Linked DNA regions of Arabidopsis thaliana. The protein of the gene in region 1 binds, or shares a complex with, the protein of each later gene. Each region holds a gene or a part of one and is shown in the gene's direction. Other genes may lie near its edges. The genes, in order: ACD2 and PPH.

What was found.
Region 2: ACD2 (region 1) and PPH share a complex: the UniProt entries of both Arabidopsis thaliana proteins name them as parts of the SGR1-CCE-LHCII complex.

Annotation. Positions count from the first base shown.
Region 1 is NC_003075.7:17,440,505-17,444,906, forward strand, and holds ACD2 (accelerated cell death 2 (ACD2)), read left to right. Parts: upstream 1-2,107; 5' UTR 2,108-2,122; coding exon 2,123-2,464; intron 2,465-2,640; coding exon 2,641-3,258; 3' UTR 3,259-3,791; downstream 3,792-4,402. Other genes in the region: HSF4 (heat shock factor 4), read left to right, coding at 156-374, 567-1,202; CEN2 (centrin 2), read left to right, coding at 3,811-3,813, 3,908-4,037, 4,115-4,151, 4,240-4,267, 4,374-4,402. UniProt on the Arabidopsis thaliana protein: Catalyzes the key reaction of chlorophyll catabolism, porphyrin macrocycle cleavage of pheophorbide a (pheide a) to a primary fluorescent catabolite (pFCC).
Region 2 is NC_003076.8:4,451,162-4,456,746, reverse strand, and holds PPH (pheophytinase), read left to right. Parts: upstream 1-2,038; 5' UTR 2,039-2,235; intron 2,236-2,386; 5' UTR 2,387-2,439; coding exon 2,440-2,499; intron 2,500-2,596; coding exon 2,597-3,232; intron 3,233-3,575; coding exon 3,576-3,802; intron 3,803-3,902; coding exon 3,903-4,094; intron 4,095-4,193; coding exon 4,194-4,350; coding exon of another isoform or gene 4,351-4,356; exon of another isoform or gene 4,357-4,432; coding exon 4,433-4,684; 3' UTR 4,685-5,012; downstream 5,013-5,585. Other genes in the region: AT5G13810 (Glutaredoxin family protein), read right to left, coding at 154-978. UniProt on the Arabidopsis thaliana protein: Alpha/beta hydrolase dephytylating specifically the Mg-free chlorophyll pigment (pheophytin), yielding pheophorbide. No activity on chlorophyll. Belongs to the chlorophyll catabolic enzymes (CCEs).

The DNA of each region.
Region 1 (4,402 bases):
TTGCTGGGATTGGGAATTTCTCACCGCTCTCTTGCTTTTTAGTTGCTGATTCTTTTTCCTTCGACTTTCTATTTCCAATCTTTCTTCTTCTCTTTGTGTATTAGATTATTTTTAGTTTTATTTTTCTGTGGTAAAATAAAAAAAGTTCGCCGGAGATGACGGCTGTGACGGCGGCGCAAAGATCAGTTCCGGCGCCGTTTTTAAGCAAAACGTATCAGCTAGTTGATGATCATAGCACAGACGACGTCGTTTCATGGAACGAAGAAGGAACAGCTTTTGTCGTGTGGAAAACAGCAGAGTTTGCTAAAGATCTTCTTCCTCAATACTTCAAGCATAATAATTTCTCAAGCTTCATTCGTCAGCTCAACACTTACGTGAGTTTCACTCTAACGAAAACTCATTTACTCTCAATTTAATGCTTCATTTAATTCGTTTGGTGAATTGAATCATTCTTTTGTAGTTGGTTAGCCAATTTCGTAATTTTCTCATAATTTGGGGGTTGGTGAGAAAACCTTCTAGAAGCTGAGAATGTTCTTGTTCTTTTTTTTTTTTTTTTTTTGGTTTAGGGATTTCGTAAAACTGTACCGGATAAATGGGAATTTGCAAACGATTATTTCCGGAGAGGCGGGGAGGATCTGTTGACGGACATACGACGGCGTAAATCGGTGATTGCTTCAACGGCGGGGAAATGTGTTGTTGTTGGTTCGCCTTCTGAGTCTAATTCTGGTGGTGGTGATGATCACGGTTCAAGCTCCACGTCATCACCCGGTTCGTCGAAGAATCCTGGTTCGGTGGAGAACATGGTTGCTGATTTATCAGGAGAGAACGAGAAGCTTAAACGTGAAAACAATAACTTGAGCTCGGAGCTCGCGGCGGCGAAGAAGCAGCGCGATGAGCTAGTGACGTTCTTGACGGGTCATCTGAAAGTAAGACCGGAACAAATCGATAAAATGATCAAAGGAGGGAAATTTAAACCGGTGGAGTCTGACGAAGAGAGTGAGTGCGAAGGTTGCGACGGCGGCGGAGGAGCAGAGGAGGGGGTAGGTGAAGGATTGAAATTGTTTGGGGTGTGGTTGAAAGGAGAGAGAAAAAAGAGGGACCGGGATGAAAAGAATTATGTGGTGAGTGGGTCCCGTATGACGGAAATAAAGAACGTGGACTTTCACGCGCCGTTGTGGAAAAGCAGCAAAGTCTGCAACTAAAAAAAGAGTAGAAGACTGTTCAAACCAGCGTGTGACACGTCATCGACGACGACGAAAAAAATGATTTAAAAAACTATTTTTTTCCGTAAGGAAGAAAAGTTATTTTTATGTTTTAAAAAGGTGAAGAAGGTCCAGAAGGATCAACGCAAATATATAAATGGATTTTCATGTATTATATAATTTAATTAGTGTATTAAGAAAATAAAACAGATGTTGAAGTTTTATTGTTGCTTAATTTATGTCTTCATAATGTAAAAAAGCATGTGAAATACTTGGTCTAAGGTCATCTACTTAGTTGAAAACTTGTGAAAGAGGAAGAAATTTTACTTTTATGTTTGATTGATTTTCTTTGCAAGTAGTAGTAGGTGGTTTCCGTGTTTTTACGTAATCCGTTGAATATTTTTCCCTCGAAATTGTCTTTATAAAAGTCACAGAAACATTTTCTAGAACTCTTTATCAGGAAAATAAAAATAAAGATGTCTTCAAGGAATCGAAAAAATACAGCAATATACTAAATAGAAAATGCTATGAAATTAAATAAAAATTTAGTAAGGTTCCAAAGACACTACTTAACTAGAGAGAAAAATAATTCCAACTAGCTCTACAACAAACAAATCATTTACTTGTTTAAGAATCGAAAAATTTAGAAATTTATTCTTATTATTTGTTTGCCCAATTAAGTCGCTCTTGGCCCAATACTTGCATCACTTGATTGAGTAGAAGAAGATCACTTACCAACTCTCAAACCATTTAAAAATTAAAAAGCATAGTTTATTTTATTTAAATATGTGTATGTAATAATTCACCACAAGAAATATATTACAAACCACAAAACTATAATCCCGGTAAAATAGTAATTAATTTCTTCAAAAGTGTAAATAAAAAAGAAGAGACATAATTTAGTCATAGCCACATAAAAAATGGCGATGATATTTTGCAACACTCTCTACTCTTCTTCTTCTCCATCATATCTCTCGCCGTTAACTTCAAAACCGTCGCGATTCTCAAAGAATCTCAGACCTCGAGCTCAATTCCAGTCCATGGAAGACCACGACGATCACCTCCGCCGAAAATTTATGGAGTTCCCGTATGTGTCACCCACGCGGAAGCAGCTCATGGTTGATCTCATGTCGACGGTGGAGAATCGCCTCCAATCACAACTCCTTCCCTGTAACCTCCCTCCAGATGTACGAAACTTCAATAACCCTAACGGTTCCGCCGAAGCATCTCTTCATATCAGATCCGGCGACAAATCTTCTCCGGTACTTGCGACGATTAACTCTGTTTTTCAGTTATGAGATCGAAATTGACTGTTTTGCATGCTTGTTTTAGAGCTCAATTGCTTGATTTTAAGTAGAAACAGACTTCAATTTCGATGTAAATCATAACCCTAAAAAAAAACTTTTTAGAGAATCTTAAAGTTTGTTTTGTTTTGCAGATTGATTTTGTTATAGGAAGTTGGATACATTGCAAGATCCCAACAGGAGTATCTTTGAATATAACAAGCATCTCTGGATTCTTAAACTCATCAACAAAAGCTCCAAACTTTGTGGTCGAACTAATACAGAGCAGTTCCAAGTCGCTTGTGCTAATCCTTGACCTCCCACATCGTAAAGATCTTGTTCTTAACCCGGATTATCTCAAGGAGTATTACCAAGACACTGCTCTTGATTCTCATCGACAATCTCTCCTTAAGCTACCTGAAGTTAACCCTTATGTGTCTCCTTCTCTCTTTGTCCGTTCTGCTTTCTCTCCTACTGCTTCGATGCTTAAGATTGATGCGGAGGAAGAGGATAAGTTGGAGGAGATATTGAGAGATCATGTTAGTCCAGCTGCTAAGGAGGTTCTCGAGGTTTGGTTGGAGCGGTGTGTGAAGGAAGAAGAAGAGAAGATTGTGGTTGGGGAAGAAGAGAGAATGGAGTTGGAGAGAAGAGATAAAAGCTTTAGAAGGAAGAGCATAGAGGACGATTTGGATTTGCAGTTTCCGAGAATGTTTGGTGAAGAAGTTTCCTCCCGTGTTGTACACGCTATTAAAGAAGCTTTCGGTGTTCTCTAGATTATGTAACTATATATATACATCAGTTAATGTTCATTGTACTAAACATTTACTTTCATCAATGTCACAAGAACGCAAGATGACCATCAAACAAGTCCTGTTTTCTCCTAAGAACGTCTTTGTTGTGAATCATCTCTGAATCGGATTCCTTCTGATTCATTTTAATACTATGGGATTGTAAATTTATCAATCAAGTTTCTAATTTATCTGTAAAAAAAAGTCTTGAATTATTGTTTTTCTCATGGATTTTAAAGTTTTTTTTTCACTATTTTACATGGATGTTTTGTTAAATTTCTCGTTCTCTAGATCATGTCATTTTACATTAGCAAAACCAATATAATATATAGATTAATATTAACGAAGGAACATAAACGTGCAAAACTAAAAGTTTTAAAGCTAAATCGCTTTCAAAAGAGTTAGTAACCAGACAAAAAAGAGACAGATCATCGGCAACTAATCTCGTCATCGCATGCATCATAAACCAAATTAACTAAATCATCCATTTAATCCATTTGTTCTTATCAGATCATCCTTTTCCTTCCTACACAAGAAATGGTTAGTGTTTTCTTTTCTCGATTGTCTCTTAGTTTAGATTCTTTATCCGACTACTTTGTTCATCGGTTTTGTTTTTCTTTTTGTCTTCCGGAAGGCGAATTACATGTCGGAAGCAGCACAGCTCAGAAGAGGTCTAAAGCCTAAAGGGAAGACTTATGGGTTGACCAATCAGAAGAGACGAGAGATCAGAGAGATCTTTGATCTTTTCGACATAGACGGTTCAGGTAAACTATTAAACCGATTCTTTATCCGATTTACAAAGTTATTGCTCACATGATTTAGTGCATCATTTCATATGTAGGTAGCATCGATGCTAGCGAGCTCAACGTTGCTATGAGGTCAACGGCAATTTTTCTTTCTTTTTCAAAGTTATTTTCTTCAAGTTCTAGTTAAGTATAGTACTAAAAAATTATCAGCTGATTACAGGTCTCTTGGATTTGAGATGAATAATCAGGTTTGTTTGTTTTCCTTCCTTTTTTCTTCTTTGTTTTAATTTCATGGTTTAGATCATTGTACGTAGAACCAACTTGTATTTAGTTTGGTCATGTTCATTGTTGCAGCAAATAAACGAATTGATGGCAGAAGTAGA
Region 2 (5,585 bases), on another chromosome or scaffold:
AAGTGAAATGCTGCTGATCCAAAAGAGATTTTCGGATACTTGTGGCAGCATCATTCACTGTTCTACACAACAATGGAAACATCAAAAGAGAAATAAATACCTCTTTTTTCTTCTTTTTTTTAATGGTTTTTTCAGGTTCATTGATGATATATCTCAAGAAGAGCAATCAGGACAACGTATCAATCCATTCTCATTGCATTCAGGACATCTCTTGACCCTATCTTCATCCTCATCAAACAGTTTCTTGCTGCCACTACAATTGGAACACGGAACAAATCGAATGTCCCCACAGCAATGGCAAACAAACCCTGGTTGTCTCATTGGAAACTCTTTAAGAATCTTAGCAAGCTCACCAATCTCAAACAAACTCTTGATCACATCAGCACCACCAACATACTTGCCCATAATGAAAACTTGAGGCAAAGACACAGACTTCTCTCCCATTGCAATCTGCAACTCTTTCCTATAAGCGATATCCATGGAGACGTCGCGCTCATCGATCCAAACCCGAAACCCTCTAAATATCATTCTGACAGCATAGCAATCCTCATACGTCCGTCTAATCCCTCTCAAGCTAGTAAAATACACCACAATCCTGTCCTCTGTCCCGGGAAGACGGATGACCGAGTTGTTTAAGCTCGAAAAAGGCGATATCCGCGATTCGGGTAAAAGGGATTTACCGGATTTCTGCTTCTGAGGAATCTCAGCTAAGGCAGGTTTAACGGGTTTGGAAGTCTCGAATAATCTACAAAGGTTTTTGACTTTGCCTTTAAGAGAAGTTCCCATCGATTCTACGGGGGTGTAGAATTTGGTAATGGAGGTGGTACGATTGAGAGAAGGATTGAGATTGTGGGATTTGGGGCCCGAATCCACCACTGTTCTTCCGTGAATTGTAAGCGACCTGTTGAAGAACGACGTCGTTGTAGCCGATTTCGTCGTCTTCCCTGAGAAATCAGCGTTTTTCTCTAATCCCGCCATCGAAATTAGATCAAAGAAGCACCCCTTTCGACGGCTAATTTGGTGTAAAACCTAAAATAGTCAACAAAATCAAAACCCTAGGATCAAATTCAAGCAAATTGACGAATACAGAAAGAGAAATTGAAAAACATAAATTGAATAATCGTCGATCACCTCCCAAGGAAGAAATGGAAATTGGAATGATTGGAAAAGAATCAGCTTCTCTGATTTGAGTCGTAAAACGATCGGGTGCTGCGTTTTTGAGCTGATGAATTCTCACCTAAGATTAAAGAAGACGAGATTGATGAAAGAATGATCTGATTTTTCTGGAAATTTGGGGGTTTGTTTGTGTTTTGGAAGAAGATGTGGAGGAGAGCTCCGAATTAGCCTTTTGTCTGTCTGCCTTTGTTGCAAAGCAAAGAATTTTTCTGTTTTTTTTTTAAAGATATAATTATTATGTCTAAGTTATTAAAGGCTCTTTAATGATATATTTACTCGATGCTCCTTCGAGGAAAAACGAATTTGAAAAAATAACAAAAGTGGGATTAAATTGCGAGGAAAAGTCGTTTACTGGTAAAACGCGGTTGTCTTATTAAGAAAGGTTATGGTTACAGCGAAACCAGTTTCTACGGTCGGTTTATTGCTATTGATTCTACGCTCGGTTTAGAGATAGTTGTCTGTATTCTAATTGAAGAGTAGTGTATTTCGCTTTCTAGTCTTCGACCATTAGGATTTTTAGTTCACACAAGATCAATTCTCTAACATTTAAAATCAACTAGAAAACTCAAATAACACCGTTAAAATAGTGATTAAACCATTCAAAAATTAAACGGGTTTTATATTGTTTGATATGAAAACTGCAGGTTTTTCGATTGTTTTTTTTGTTTTCCGATTGTTACACAATGGAAAAGAAGATCAAAAATCAATTGTTTTTAAAAAAAATATTATTCTGTCATATTTTTGCAACAAACATGTGTTTTTGCAATGTTACATCGGTGTCAAATTAGCAATGTCAGATCCAAAACAAAATGTCATATTGTGAAAAAAATAACCCTACACTTAATAATACAGTATGAATTTTGGATCCTTTAAGAAAAAATAAAAACTCGATAAAAACGTTGCTGTCGGTTTGCACCGAACGATTGAAGTTAACCAAGCCAGCAAGCAACCCAATTCTTCTATTTCTTCTTCACCTTTAGATTTTTCCTCGCTTAATTTCTCAATAACGCTCTCAGAGAGACCATTTGATGAAGCTTCTCGCTTCTGGAATTTGAAAAGGTACAAGTTGCAACTCTCTCTTTTCTTTCTTTTCTTCCTGGGTTTATTATATAGCTGGAGTTCTTTGTCGATGAATCGGGTGGTGTTGTTGTTGTTTGGTTTCAATTTGATAGAAGATTGGCTTGACCTTGATTTGCTTTGTTTTGATTAGGATTTGATAAGACGAGTTCATAGAAGATTACCGCAAGTTCATCAACTTTTTGTATGTGGTTTCAGCTTTTGAAGCAAAATTCTGATAACTATACAAAGATTCCAGCTTCATATGTGATTTTCCTTGTTATTCTTAGCTTTGCTATGAAGTTGAGATATATGAGTGGAAAATTCGTATTAAAGGATATGCCTTTTGGTTGTTCATTTGCAGGAACTTGTTATGGAGATAATCTCACTGAACGTTGTGCCCCAGTGCTCTGTGGTTACTTGGAGTAGTAAATTAGCAACGAAAAGATTGGTCCCAAATCGGTCAAGTTTGTTATTCTCAGGGGTCAAAAAATCCAGACTTGTGATTCGAAGTGGAAATTCCGATGGTTATGTTGTTGGTGAGAATGATGACTTGGGTCGTATAGCCAGAAGAGGAGAATCAACGTCAAAGGTTTTGATTCCTGGTTTGCCTGATGAATCAAATGGTGAAATTGCTGCTCGAATCAGTCATTCTCACTGCGAGTGGAAGCCCAAGCTTAGAGTACATTATGAGAAAGCCGGTTGTGACAATCTCGATGCTCCTGCGGTGTTGTTTCTTCCTGGCTTTGGCGTTGGTTCATTTCACTATGAGAAGCAGCTTACCGATTTGGGAAGGGATTATCGAGTATGGGCTATTGATTTTCTTGGACAGGGTTTATCTCTCCCTACTGAAGATCCTACTACCATGACTGAAGAAACCAGTTCCTCGGAAGATAAGGAACCATTTTGGGGATTTGGTGACAAAACTGAACCGTGGGCTGATCAACTTGTATTCTCTCTGGATCTCTGGAGGGATCAAGTTCAGTATTTTGTAGAAGAGGTTAGCAATATCTGAGTTCAGTTGTTCTATTACTCTTTAAGCTGTTGATTTTGTTCTTTTAGTCGTAATTTCAAAAGCAGTGTGTTAGCTTTTTTTTTTTAGTGTAGATTGTTGCTATGTGTCGTATACTCATGGATTTCAATAGTTTTCAGCTCAGAACCTGAAAGTGTGGGTATGGAGTCTTCTGGTGTTGCTTTGGGAATGGGAAAGTTTAGGATGCACTAGATATTAGAATTCATCTCTGTTCTTTGATTCCGTTTGTGTTCTAGTTTGAGATCACGATCTTTTTCATCTGAAATAAGCTGCTGAGTCGGTAAGAGTATGTGGTATTTGTGTTGTACAGGTTATCGGTGAGCCTGTGTACATTGCAGGGAACTCACTTGGAGGGTATGTAGCTCTCTACTTTGCAGCAACCCATCCTCACCTGGTTAAGGGTGTTACCTTGCTTAATGCAACACCTTTCTGGGGTTTCTTCCCTAATCCAGTAAGATCCCCAAAGCTAGCACGTCTCTTTCCATGGCCCGGAGCATTCCCTCTGCCGGAAAGAGTGAAAAAAATCACAGAATTGGTGTAAGGGAGACTTTATTAACACATCTCCTCACCTGAAAAGTATCATTTTCTATTTCTATCTCTATCAGTCTAATATCTTTACTTCCCAATGAAACTGCAGGTGGCAAAAGATAAGTGATCCTGAAAGCATAGCTGAGATACTTAAACAGGTCTACACAGACCATTCTATCAATGTGGATAAAGTATTCTCACGTATTGTGGAGGTCACACAGCATCCGGCTGCTGCAGCATCGTTTGCTTCAATCATGCTTGCTCCTGGTGGAGAGCTATCTTTCTCCGAAGCTTTATCTAGGTATAAGACAGTGTGGTTTCTTGTTTTTATATGTTTTTTACTCTGCGTGATTGGTGTTATTGCTTATGAGGAATGCTGCTATTTGATGGTTTATGCTAGGTGTAAGGAAAACAATGTTCAGATATGTCTCATGTATGGAAGAGAAGATCCATGGGTGAGACCGTTATGGGGAAAGAAGATAAAGAAGGAAATCCCCAACGCTCCATACTACGAGATCAGCCCAGCGGGTCACTGCCCACACGATGAAGTCCCTGAGGTATAATGAACTAGTCAATAAATTCTTCAAACTCTGCAATTAGGTATAATGAACCCACCATTTGGGATATGAAAACGAGCAGGTGGTGAACTATCTGATGCGCGGGTGGATCAAGCACCTGGAGTCTGGTGGTTTTGAAGCGCTCCCGCTTTTGGAGGACACTGAAGAAGATTGGGAGGAGTCCAGGATTGGTAGAGAAATTGAGTTCCCGAGAGATGGTTGGAAAAAAGCAGTGAATCTGTGGTTATATGGGTCAAACTATACGTACTGGAGAGGAGTTAGAGAATCTTTCAGATCCAGTTTTATAAGGGTGTTTGGAGGGAAGTCTGCATAGAAGAAGCATGGAACAGTCGTCTAGTGTAAATTAATTGTAATCTATGTTGCATCCGATGCTAGCTATATAATGTTGTCTGTAGAATCAAGTTTCTAAAATGTTCAAAAGGAAAAGTTAGAAAAATATCTACTTGATAGTTAGTCACCTAAATCGAAGGAACTCCTTTCTTGCATTGTTGTATATAATCCACAGGTTCAGATTAATATAGGAAGGCGACATTGCAGGCCATATGAGTTGTCTTAAAAATTGGAAGAGAGCTTGAAATTACTCTGATTCCAAAAGAAGAAAGTGAGTGTATTTGAATTGTTAATAATTTCCAAAGGTGAACAGTTTTATTGAACATGTATGGTGTTTGAAAAGACGTATCATTGGTTACTTTTCTCGAGGCAAAGTCGTATCCTTGACCATATTCTTCCCTTAGCTTGAATCTCATTTTTGTCAGTTCCACGGTCAACAAATAAGGGACTGAATTAGAAGGCTATCCAAACCACTTTTGAGAAACTTACTTACACAGGCTATATATCCAACATGAGATTTGGTCTGCTTCTTTTCTTAATTTGTTTCTTAGTCTCTGATAAAATCTCGTTATCTATTTATTGATTTGAGTGTCAAAAAAAAAAAACCGGTGTTACAAAGCTGCTACTAAAGTGTCGTTCTACACTAGTTGTAAGAAATTACTTCTCAGTATGTTTTTTTATCTCTCACTAGTTGATAACATAATGGTAACCATCAAACAATGCTAGTTGTTGCAATTTTATTCTTGGGGGTACTTTGAAATTGTTTCTAATTGTTGCTCTGAACTTTTTTTTATTTTTATGTCGGTCAACATTGTTGGTCTGATTTATGTCTTACAACAACATTAAAGAGAAAATACACTAGTACTAATAAATCTAATTTTAAA